3 separate regions of the Mus musculus genome follow, and regions 1 and 3 are each reported to be linked to region 2. The links are microRNA targets in miRTarBase. Many come from high-throughput screens and were not tested one by one. Region 2 holds a microRNA gene; each other region holds the end of a gene's coding sequence.
The links. Region 2 holds the annotated microRNA mmu-miR-335-3p (UUUUUCAUUAUUGCUCCUGACC, at 1,015-1,036, opposite strand). A microRNA usually pairs through its seed, bases 2 to 8, with sites in the 3' UTR of a target mRNA and lowers its output. Matches are read on the target gene's strand: a 7mer-m8 pairs with bases 2 to 8, a 7mer-A1 pairs with bases 2 to 7 and ends in A, and an 8mer does both.

Region 1 (3,257 bases), not on the chromosome of region 2:
CCTACATCTGCAAGGAGTGCGGGAAGGCCTTCAAGGGCGTCTCGCAGCTCATCCACCACCAGCTCATCCACCGCGGCGACAAGCCCTTCACGTGCCATGAGTATGGCAAGGCCTTCCGAGGCCTCTCAGGGCTCAGCCAACACCAGCGGGTCCACAGAGGTGAGAAACCCTATGAGTGCAGCGAATGCGGCCGGGCCTTTGGTCGCCGGGCCAACCTCTTCAAGCACCAGGTGGTGCATGGTGGGGTGCGGCTCCAGCACCGCACTCGAGGGAAGGGATTCCAGCGCAAGCTCCTGGAGCATCTGCGGGACCTCCATGGGCAGCAGCCCCAAGAGGCTGGAGAAGGTAGCTCCGCAGAACCCCAGCCCATCGACACCAATGAGAAGCCCCAAGTTTGTGAGCGCTGCGGCCAGGTCTTCGAGAACAAGTTGCTGTTGTGTCGCCACTTGCGCATCCATGACGACGAAGATGACAAGAAACAGAAGCCTGTTATTTCGAGCACCTCAGTTTTGGAGGATAAGTCATTGCTCAGCCAACATCTGGAAGCCCAGCCCACAGAGGAAAGCGACAGCGAAGGCAGTGTAGTTTTCGTGTATGCTGAGAAGCCCCACGGTCCATCCTCACCTTGAGGCCAGAAACAGGGCAGCAGTTCAGAATGGCAGGATGGCCCCTTCCCCAGTGTGAAACAGAGAAGCAATTCAGAATGACAGAGTGCCCTCCACCTTCAGTGTAGTTTGTCCTGCTCCTTCCCTGATAGGTCGAAAAGGAAAGCTCCCTCCGTAGTCCTGGATGATACAATTGATGCCTAGAGATTGTACAGGCAGGCTCCTCAAGTTACCTAGGCAGGGTTCTCCTGTGTGTGCTTCGGTGTGTGAGTGCCTGTGTGAGTGGGGTCTCCAAGTGAGCAGATTTGTTTTATACAGAGTTGGTCTTTTCCATCCACATGGGAATTGCCTGATGTAGTTAGAAGGGAAGCAGGTAGGTCCAGCCGACTCTAGGCACAGTTACCATGAAGTTTACAGACAGATGACCCATGTCCTTTCCCTTGTTTAATGTGGGGTGGTTTCCTCCCCTTGAGAGTTGTGTTTCTAGGGAAAATATACTAAAGCTACTTTATTCCATTAAAAGTTTATAAATTGAAGGAGCTCTAAAATTGACTTGATGCTTTATAGGAAAGCACAGGGAACCTGCTGTCCTGGGGCGCAGGCTAGGCTATATGTGAAAACTTGGACCCTATTATGTACCCCTGCTGCTGCTTGGAGGGTCTGTACCAAAGCTGTCATCTTGCAGAGAGGTTAAAGTCCAGAGACCTGAGGGTCTCCATTTTGGGAAAGGAGCCTCTTTCCTCTGGTGCCTCATAGAAGAAGGGCGTAGGTAAGACATGGCCTCTTTGTGCCACTCCTATCCACTGTCTCAATACCTACAGTTTCTCTGCTAATCCCTTTCATGGAACCCATTGTGTGCTGATAACAGGTTAGGAGTTTGCACTTAGATGGCCCCAGAAATGAGTCTGGCCAGACAATTACCTTTCAGACAGATGACATTTGTTAGAATATTAAAGTTGCCATTATTTTAATATGCTTTTGTTTGCAGGTAAAAGTTGGGAAATGGAGATCTTTGTTATATGAGAGTGTTGGGGAATTGATCCTTTATAAAAATTCCTCAGGCAGAGGGTGTAGCTCAGAGGTGGAGTACATGCCTAGCAGACCTCGGGCCCTGTGTTCCATCCCTGACTCCTGCCCAAGCTCAGACAGGAGAAAGTAGCCTTTCCAGCCCATGACTGGTGAGTATGGTGGCAAGTCTGGCCCTCCAAGTGATATCACTCACACACACACATACACACACACATACACACACACACACACAAATACACACAAACACACATACACACACACACACACACACACACACACACACGTCTTAAGCCTGGTTGACTTTAATTAGAACTAAGGGGAAGGTGTTTTATAAGAAAATCTGTAGCAGTTCTATTCTGCCTGTGCAGAAACCCTGGAGATTTGTCCCTTGGTATACTCAGCTCAGCATCCTGGGCAGCAAGCTACTTTCCAGTCCTCTCATATCCCAGGAGGGAGAAAGATTTTCTCACAAAGCTGCCTGAGGGCAGGTGGGGGGTACGGGTAAAGTGGAGGCTGCCCTTGGGCACTCCAAGAAGAGTGATGGTACCTTCCCTGCAAGGTTAGTGAGGTTCAAAGACAACTGCCTCCTGCCAAGAGAGTATGGGAAGACCTGGAAACTTGGGATGCTGGTTGGGGCCCTGGTCACAGAATAACTTCAGATATTCTTACACAAATATGCACACACACACACACACACACACACACACACACACACACACACACACACGTTTTATGTATATAAAATGTTTTGTGTAAAGTTCTAGTTTATAGCTTGCTCTTATCTCCATGTCCTCCAGACTTGTCCTGTGATTGCTTTCTTTCTCATGAGCCTGCAGTTGTATGTTGTGCTCAGCCTTGTGTCTCCACTCCAAGTCCCATGTTGGATACTAGTGAAAGAGCCTTGCTCTCTTAGTGTACTGGACTTGGGCTATGTAGTAGTTGGCTTCAGTGGCTCCTGGACGCAGTCCAAAGTATCTGCTACCTTGGTTTCCCACTAGAAAATGAAATACTAAGAACAGTGTCTTTTAATTCCCTGGTGAAGTAACTGCTCAGACAGTCTCTCCTAGGGCTGGCACAGATACAGGAAACTAGGCCTCATGCAGTGCAGGTACCCACAGTGGGAGGTCCTGTGCAGACTGTCATGTGTTCTTAAATAATCATTTCCATGGCTCTAGGAAGGGAATGCATGATACCTATCCTGTAAGCCTGTCACCAGCTTCTATACCCAAAGATAAATCTCCAGAGAAGGGGTCATGTGTAGTTATTTTCAGCAGAAAGTGGGGTCTGCAGGGAGAGATGTAGAGCACTTTAGAGTGGAGTACCCTGAAATGCTCCAGAGTCCCCAGTGGTTGCTACATACCTAGCAACACATCTCAGTTTTCTACTGTAGTTCCGGTTCCTAGATGTTTTCAGCAGGCAGTTAGGTGTAGTAGGTTCTCTCAGGTATGGTAATCAGGTATGTAAAATGAACGAACAAGCTTCTCCTGGGATAAAGTCAAAATAACCAGAGGCGCTTGTGCTTTCCCTTGTTTTGTGCCTGAAAATTGGTCCATTCCTTATGCTAGATGGGGAATGGGGCTAATGGTTCATTTGTGTGTCTTGAGTGGCAACTAGATTATAAAC
Region 2 (3,257 bases):
CCCCTTACAGTACATAAAAAGCAATTCTACATTTAATGAGATTTTATCAAACAGTTCAAATCTGCAAAAGAATTCTAGGGCTGACCAGAACAACAACAACAACAAAAAAAATATCTTGAGTTTTGAGTATTTTTTTTAGGACATAAGCCAGACCTAGAAACATTATTACCTTGTACCAGTCATAGCTGGATGTTGGAAAGCCATGTAAAAGCACAACTATCTCAGGGCTTCCGACCACACCGACAGAATCTAGGAGGAAAATGAGAAATGAGGCAAACTGCATGCAAGGCAGCCTTGACGACACCAAAATCTAATCCAGTCAAAAGGATCAGACTAAATGAATGACATCACCATGCTGTGTTAGAAAGCAAGCTGACAGGACTTCAGGAGCTTCCTCCTAATCTGCGCTTTTAAATCGTAATGGCATGCTTTACATGAAAACCCTTAAAACAGTTTGTTCATCATCACTTAAGAGTTGTGTAGACATCCTCATATTTTCGCTGACATTAATATAAAACTCAAATTTTTAAATAAAAAGGAAAAACAGTTAAAATACTATAATCACAGCAAGCTAAAACTTCTTTGTCCCTAATCAATATTTATCACACCTAATATCTAAGATGTGACAGTTCTTCCCAGTGGATCACCTGAGCTTATACCATTTGTCCATATACTAGCAGAATTCATGCAACTCAAAAAATCAAACTGTTACAAAGATGGGCTAATAGTGATGGGAACTTTTTCTGTATGTGACATATTTCAGATTATTCAAACAATAAAATACCTTGCCAACAGTACTGGATTGAAATTAATACTGCTAGTGGAATAAAACTTTGGTAGCATGTTTTCAGAAATTATTTAATTAAAAGCAATTAAAATATCATATACTGGATTTAACCTAAAGAACCTATGCAAATAAGATGTAACACTGAATATCAAGTCTGGGAAAGAACAACAAGCCAACATAAAAAAAAAAATGCATACTTACTCGACTGGCTATAACCCATGAGAGGGGGTCAGGAGCAATAATGAAAAACGGTTTACGAAAAACAAACATTTTTCGTTATTGCTCTTGACCCCCGCCCAAAAGAAATCTTTTCCAATCTGTTTCTCGGTTTCTTCAGCTATAAAATGAGGTTAATGGCACCTATCTCCAAATGCTGTTGTAAAAATTAAGTGAAAAATGAAATAATGAAGGTTAAAATATAACTGAATATCCTGAGTGTGGTAATTAAATAGCAGTCATCAAGTCAATCTTATCAGCTACATATAACAAATCACGGAAAATAGTGCATGAATTTGGGAATGGGGTGGGGCGTGGGGGAAACAAAGGTATAGATAGATCTCGAAATACTATATAGCTTACCTGACACTAGGGGCGCTCAAAAGAGAAAAGTAATTTCTCAAATACAAATGGGGCTGCAATTACTACCAGGCACAATTCTACCCCCACCTTCACCTCACCTTCACTGTGGAGCAACAGACCAAGGGACACAAAATAAGTAACTTCAGCTGAAACCTACACGACCCACGTCCTTGGGATTCTCCAATAGCCCAGTTCTCACCTTGGTAGAAGATGCGTAGGCCTTTGTAGGTGAAAAACTTGCCAGAAGTCTTCCATGAGTGCAGAGCAGGGGAGAGCTGAGGGGGCGGGATGTGCAGGTACGCAGCCAGCAAGGGCACAGCCAGGAGCCCTACTTGGACCCACCACTCTCTCATCCTGTGGAAAAAGCAGCCAAGGTAACATTGTACACTTCCAAAAATCAGAATGAAACATGGGTGGGAAACCTGGGCACTGTGAGGTTTGACCCCACCCCCCATCCCTCCCCTCCCCTCCCCACCCCTTCCCACTCGACCCCTCCCCTGCCCACTCCACCCCTCCCCTCCCCACTTCACCCCTCCCTTCCCCACTCCACACCTCCCCACCCAACGTGACAATGGCATAAACTTTACCAAGAAGAATGTGATAAACACCTTTACCCTTTGACATCTGGCAGTCACTGTACTAGCTCACTACCATTCTTTCCAAGCACATATGTAACTTACTGCATGGCCTTAAGCAGAGAGCTGCTCCTGGGTTCTAACACATACATATCCTCTGACCAAGTGAATCCCCATTTGGCACTACTGTCTGCATTTGGGCTATGGAACTGTTGAGGGGAGAGACCAGGAGAATTCCAGTAAGCAGCTTTGCCCTGACCCTGAATATCTAATCTCTTACAAGTCTGGGCAGCAGATTATATTTGTGCATTCTTAGCAGACTCTTGAGGTGGTTCCCTTTTATTTAATTAAGACCCCACCCCCACACCTAGCACTCAAGACTTTTGTGGGGGGGGGGGGCAGGAGGGGGGGGGAAGCACAGATTTGTGGCCCCAGCTTGCCATGCCTGGATTTCAAAGGTCCAGATCAATTTATCCTGGAGGCGAGAAATAAGGCACGATTAGAAACCATTTCCTTTGTGACCCGCCATGGTCACCAAGGAAAGGGTTCTCTAAAGAATTGGGATAGTGCCTCCTAAACTAAAGCTACAGACATTAGGAAGTGAGCTACAAATAAAACCGCTGTCTTTGTATTTGAGTGCACCCTATACATAACACATTACCTGCAATTTGATGAAACTGACTGGGTTTTTGTGTGTGTGGGGGGGGTGTTCTCTGTAAACCTGAAATGGTGGGTAAAAACCAGCACCCCTTAGGAACCTCAGCTGCCTGCCTCAACTTTAGTCAGCGCTGAGACTTTTTTTTCCTTCCTCCAAAGTCACTGTCCAATAAAGACACAAGGCTTTGGTTCTACCTTTTGAGGCTATACTAGAAATGCCTGGCACAGTGCCAGAACACGATGGTTTTTATCTCAGTCTGTTATCCACTAACGGGTTTTAAGGCTGAACCTCTTTGAAAAGCAAAAGCATTAGGTTTGGGGGAGGGGGGGGTCTTTTTGTTGTTACTGCTCATTTCCTCAGAACCCATTTGGTCCTGTTACCTGTTCATACATTTTCATGTAGCCTCTGGGGCATCCTTGCTGGACTCACTGAATCCGCAGTGACTCAGCAGAACGCCGGGGAGGGGCGCCTACTGCAGAGTGAACAGGGGCTTCCTGCTGGCGCAGGGAAACAGAGGTGCCACACCCACGCTCTCCGGACCATACCTCAGTGCACCTCCTCCATGCAGGAAAGGGGGGACAACCCCCCCCCCCAGCCATTCTCAGCTTTAGTTACCTTGGTAAAAATACCCCAAACATTTTAAGATTTTTAGCAGTCA
Region 3 (3,257 bases), not on the chromosome of region 2:
CTATAGTAGCGCATAGGAAATTGCACTCTAAACAAAGAACTAATTAATGAAATAACACACCTTACGTCTTACATTGAAAGCGTACAGTTTACAAGGTGCCTTTACATACATTATTTCATTTGATTCTTACAACAAGCAGAAGGAAAGAACAACAGTCAGTGGGAAAAGATAATCATGTATTTTTAGGCTTACAATGAGCATTGTTTTTTTTTTTTTTCAGACCAAGGGGCAATCAGTACAGGTACACACCAAGAACAAGACAGCAATACCCATAAGCCACGGCTTCTTTTTGGTAGGCTGACAGTTTGATATCAAGTGTCTATTTAGCATCAGTGAGGGAGGAAGGAAGGAATGGAACAGACAAGGCCTTTCTGATAGTCAAAGGGTTTTCAGCACACTGTGGAGGTAAGAGGGAGGACAAACAGAAACGTGTTGCTATCAAAGCTTACTTCACAGCGGGATACCCTTGAGAATATTAGCTGAGGAGGGAATCCTGACCTACCTCAGGGAGTCGGGGGTCCCACAACGTGCCTGCTTCTGCCCTCTGTCTGCACAACGCCACTCCAACAAGTCTCCCTCAGTCCAGGGCTCTGTCCTATACAATGCCATCTCTTGATTTAATGGGCAAAACACCATTTCTTCTGTCTTACGTAATATACTTTGAATAAAATACTGGTTTTTGCCACTGACTTACTATTTCAAGTTTTTAAAGAAAGTCTTTTCAGCTGTGGCTAAAAATGGGAATTTTAGGCATGTTAAAAATACTCCAATTTAGTGTACTTGGTTAGTCAGAAAGAGACCCCTTGACCCAGCTGATGGTTTGCTCGTGTACTTCCAACAGAGACAATAAAATGGAATGGCTGAGAAGCCCCAGAAACCTAGGTGTCATCTACCTGGGTAGATTCTAGCTGGGCACTAATAATTTTATAGAAAAAAATATTTTTAGGATTCATAGAAATCTGTTCATCAATTTTTGAAAACTAAATTATAATAATCAAATTGTCATCCCCACAATTTATTGAAGTAATTTTACATTAATATACAACAACGCTACCAGAGAATTTGTAGCATACATAGAACACATGATTAGCATGTTCTTGGATTTAAATGAAATACATAAAAGTAAATAAAGTATTTTATACAAATGATGCTTTCAGTTTATTAACACGATGATATATCTTTGTTACACAGAACTTGCTACAGCAGAGTATTTCAGTTTTTCTTGCACATTTTAAATACAGGTGGACCAACTGAAATCATTATTTGTTACTGTGGGACATTGCCATGCAGAAACACTTGACAACCAAAACACATGCAGATAGGTGGAGAGAAGGTCTCAGATAGGATTTTCAATGTCTTCAAGGGTTTGGTGAGGGTGTGTGTGCATATGACTAGGACTGCTGTCAATGACCTACCTGCACCAGTAAGGAGGCAGATAGAGAGGCTCTATATACAACAGGGTTTGTCTGACTTAAAACAATCTTATATCCTTGGAGATTCATCATGAAATGAAATATTTTAAACTATTTGGGTAAGTGGACTATTTAAGGTAGGTCACTGATACAGAGATAAAATGAGGTGAGAAAATTAAAAGTAATGAAAGTATAGTAAAAAAAAAGTGAAGCCATTTATTCACAAAGGAACACTGAACTAAATGTGCAAGAGTGCTTGAAATGTCCTCACGATGGCAACATTGTTAAGTCAATTGGCAAAATGTATAGAAAAATTAAGGAAAAGCAAATATGAAAACTGTATCCGCATGATCATATACTCTGTCTATGAAAGAGAAGGAAGAGGTTAGCAATTCTGACGTACTTAAAGATATCACAGCTCAGCATGAAATACAAATGTGGCAGTGTCTCAAGCTTTGCGTTCTCCTGTCACTAGCCAGGCAGGGACACGGCAGAGCTGCGGCAGTGCCCGCCTGCCGTCTTCTTCCCTCAGAAGAGGACGCAATAAGCTACTGCTTTGCTTGTTTTCTTACCTGGTACGAACCAAAGCAAACAGACAAGTTCCCTTAAAGGAGAGAACCTCTAAGCTGCAAGCAGGTATCAAGGCTTCTGCTGACTTAGCATTTATCCAAATGCACGTTTGCTCTTTTCCCTTAAGAGCCCACCGATGAGGACGGAGAAACCTCCCAAAGTGTCATTTCTCAGTCACACTTTCCTCAAATACTGGCTGAAGCCCCCATGGAAGAGCCAAGGCTCAGAAACCTTAGGCCTCTCTCCAGCCCACAGAGAGGTCGGTACCAAGGGAGACAGCTGCGGCGAGGAGCCATGCCCCTCACTTATCTGTCTGGTCACTTACTATCTCACGGAGTGAAGAGCACTAGAAGGCCCAGGGGAACGTAGCCTCTCGTCCAGGAGTCCTCACTGCTCTCTAGGCGCTCTGACTCACTGCTGCATCAGTGACCCCTGAAAAGTTATCTTTACTTATGCAAATTCCCATGCTGACAAGACATTCCATCTTCAAAATTACTAAGAGTTTTGGCAAAACTGAATTCAAGCTACTCAAAATAAAAATAATCATTAGAGAGTTTATCTTCAAGCCACTGGTCAGCAAAAATATTGCTCAAAACTACAAAAAGCAACATGTAGCTTTCCTTTTAAATATCACACAGCCATAACACTGCCCATCTGAAACACCAGGAAAATAAAGGGAGCACTGGTCAGAGAAGTGAATGAGAAGGATATAGGAGGGTGGAGAAAAACCAAACCAGGAGGACGTGGTGCACACCGTGTTATGGCAGACGATGCTGCGGAGCCGTGCCTGGGGACACAGGTGGTTGCAGAGCGAGCGCACACTGATGACGCAGGAAAGACCTCACGCAGTTGCTGGAATGAAGGGATTGGAACCCGCTCCAACAAGCAGGTCTCGGCTCCACCTTCCACCTCCACAGCGTGCAAGGGCTGAGTGTGAGCTCCAGGCTATCTTTCTCCTCCCTAAAATTCACAAAATTCCTTTCCACATTTTTCTGTTATAGACACACGGATTTCTTCTTCTTCATAGTCATCGAAGTTGCTGGTATCGCCAGAGCCTCTGAACTTTGGTATGAATGGAGCCTCAACCTGTAATCGACATCAGGAGGCAAGTGAGAGAATGAACTCCTCAGACACTTCCAAACACCAAGAACAATGCTTTCCCAGCCTAGCTCACACGGGCATCTTTAAACACAGAAGTGCTTGAAGTACGATCCACAGAAGTTAGCTAAAGCCTCATGTTTTCACTGAGAACCACAAACACGAGTGCAGACCAAC

Region 1: the mRNA of Zfp92 is a reported target of mmu-miR-335-3p. The part of its 3' UTR that is shown has no 7-base or 8-base seed match.
Region 3: the mRNA of Prkacb is a reported target of mmu-miR-335-3p. Seed matches in the 3' UTR shown: 7mer-A1 at 213-219.

Annotation. Positions count from the first base shown.
Region 1 is chrX:73,422,241-73,425,497 of GRCm38, forward strand. It overlaps Zfp92 (zinc finger protein 92), which reads left to right. Exons shown (of 6, transcript NM_009566.5): 6 at 1-3,257. The coding sequence ends at 629. Among named protein-coding and RNA genes, the nearest start is that of Trex2, 11 kb to the right of the region's middle.
Region 2 is chr6:30,739,133-30,742,389 of GRCm38, reverse strand. Mir335 (microRNA 335) reads right to left here and starts at 1,091; the gene lies at 994-1,091. It overlaps Mest (mesoderm specific transcript), which reads right to left. Exons shown (of 12, transcript NM_008590.2): 2 at 1,566-1,720; 3 at 170-249.
Region 3 is chr3:146,729,646-146,732,902 of GRCm38, forward strand. Prkacb (protein kinase, cAMP dependent, catalytic, beta) reads right to left here. Exons shown (of 10, transcript NM_011100.4): 10 at 1-3,068. The coding sequence ends at 2,943. Among named protein-coding and RNA genes, the nearest start is that of Gm36521, 46 kb to the left of the region's middle.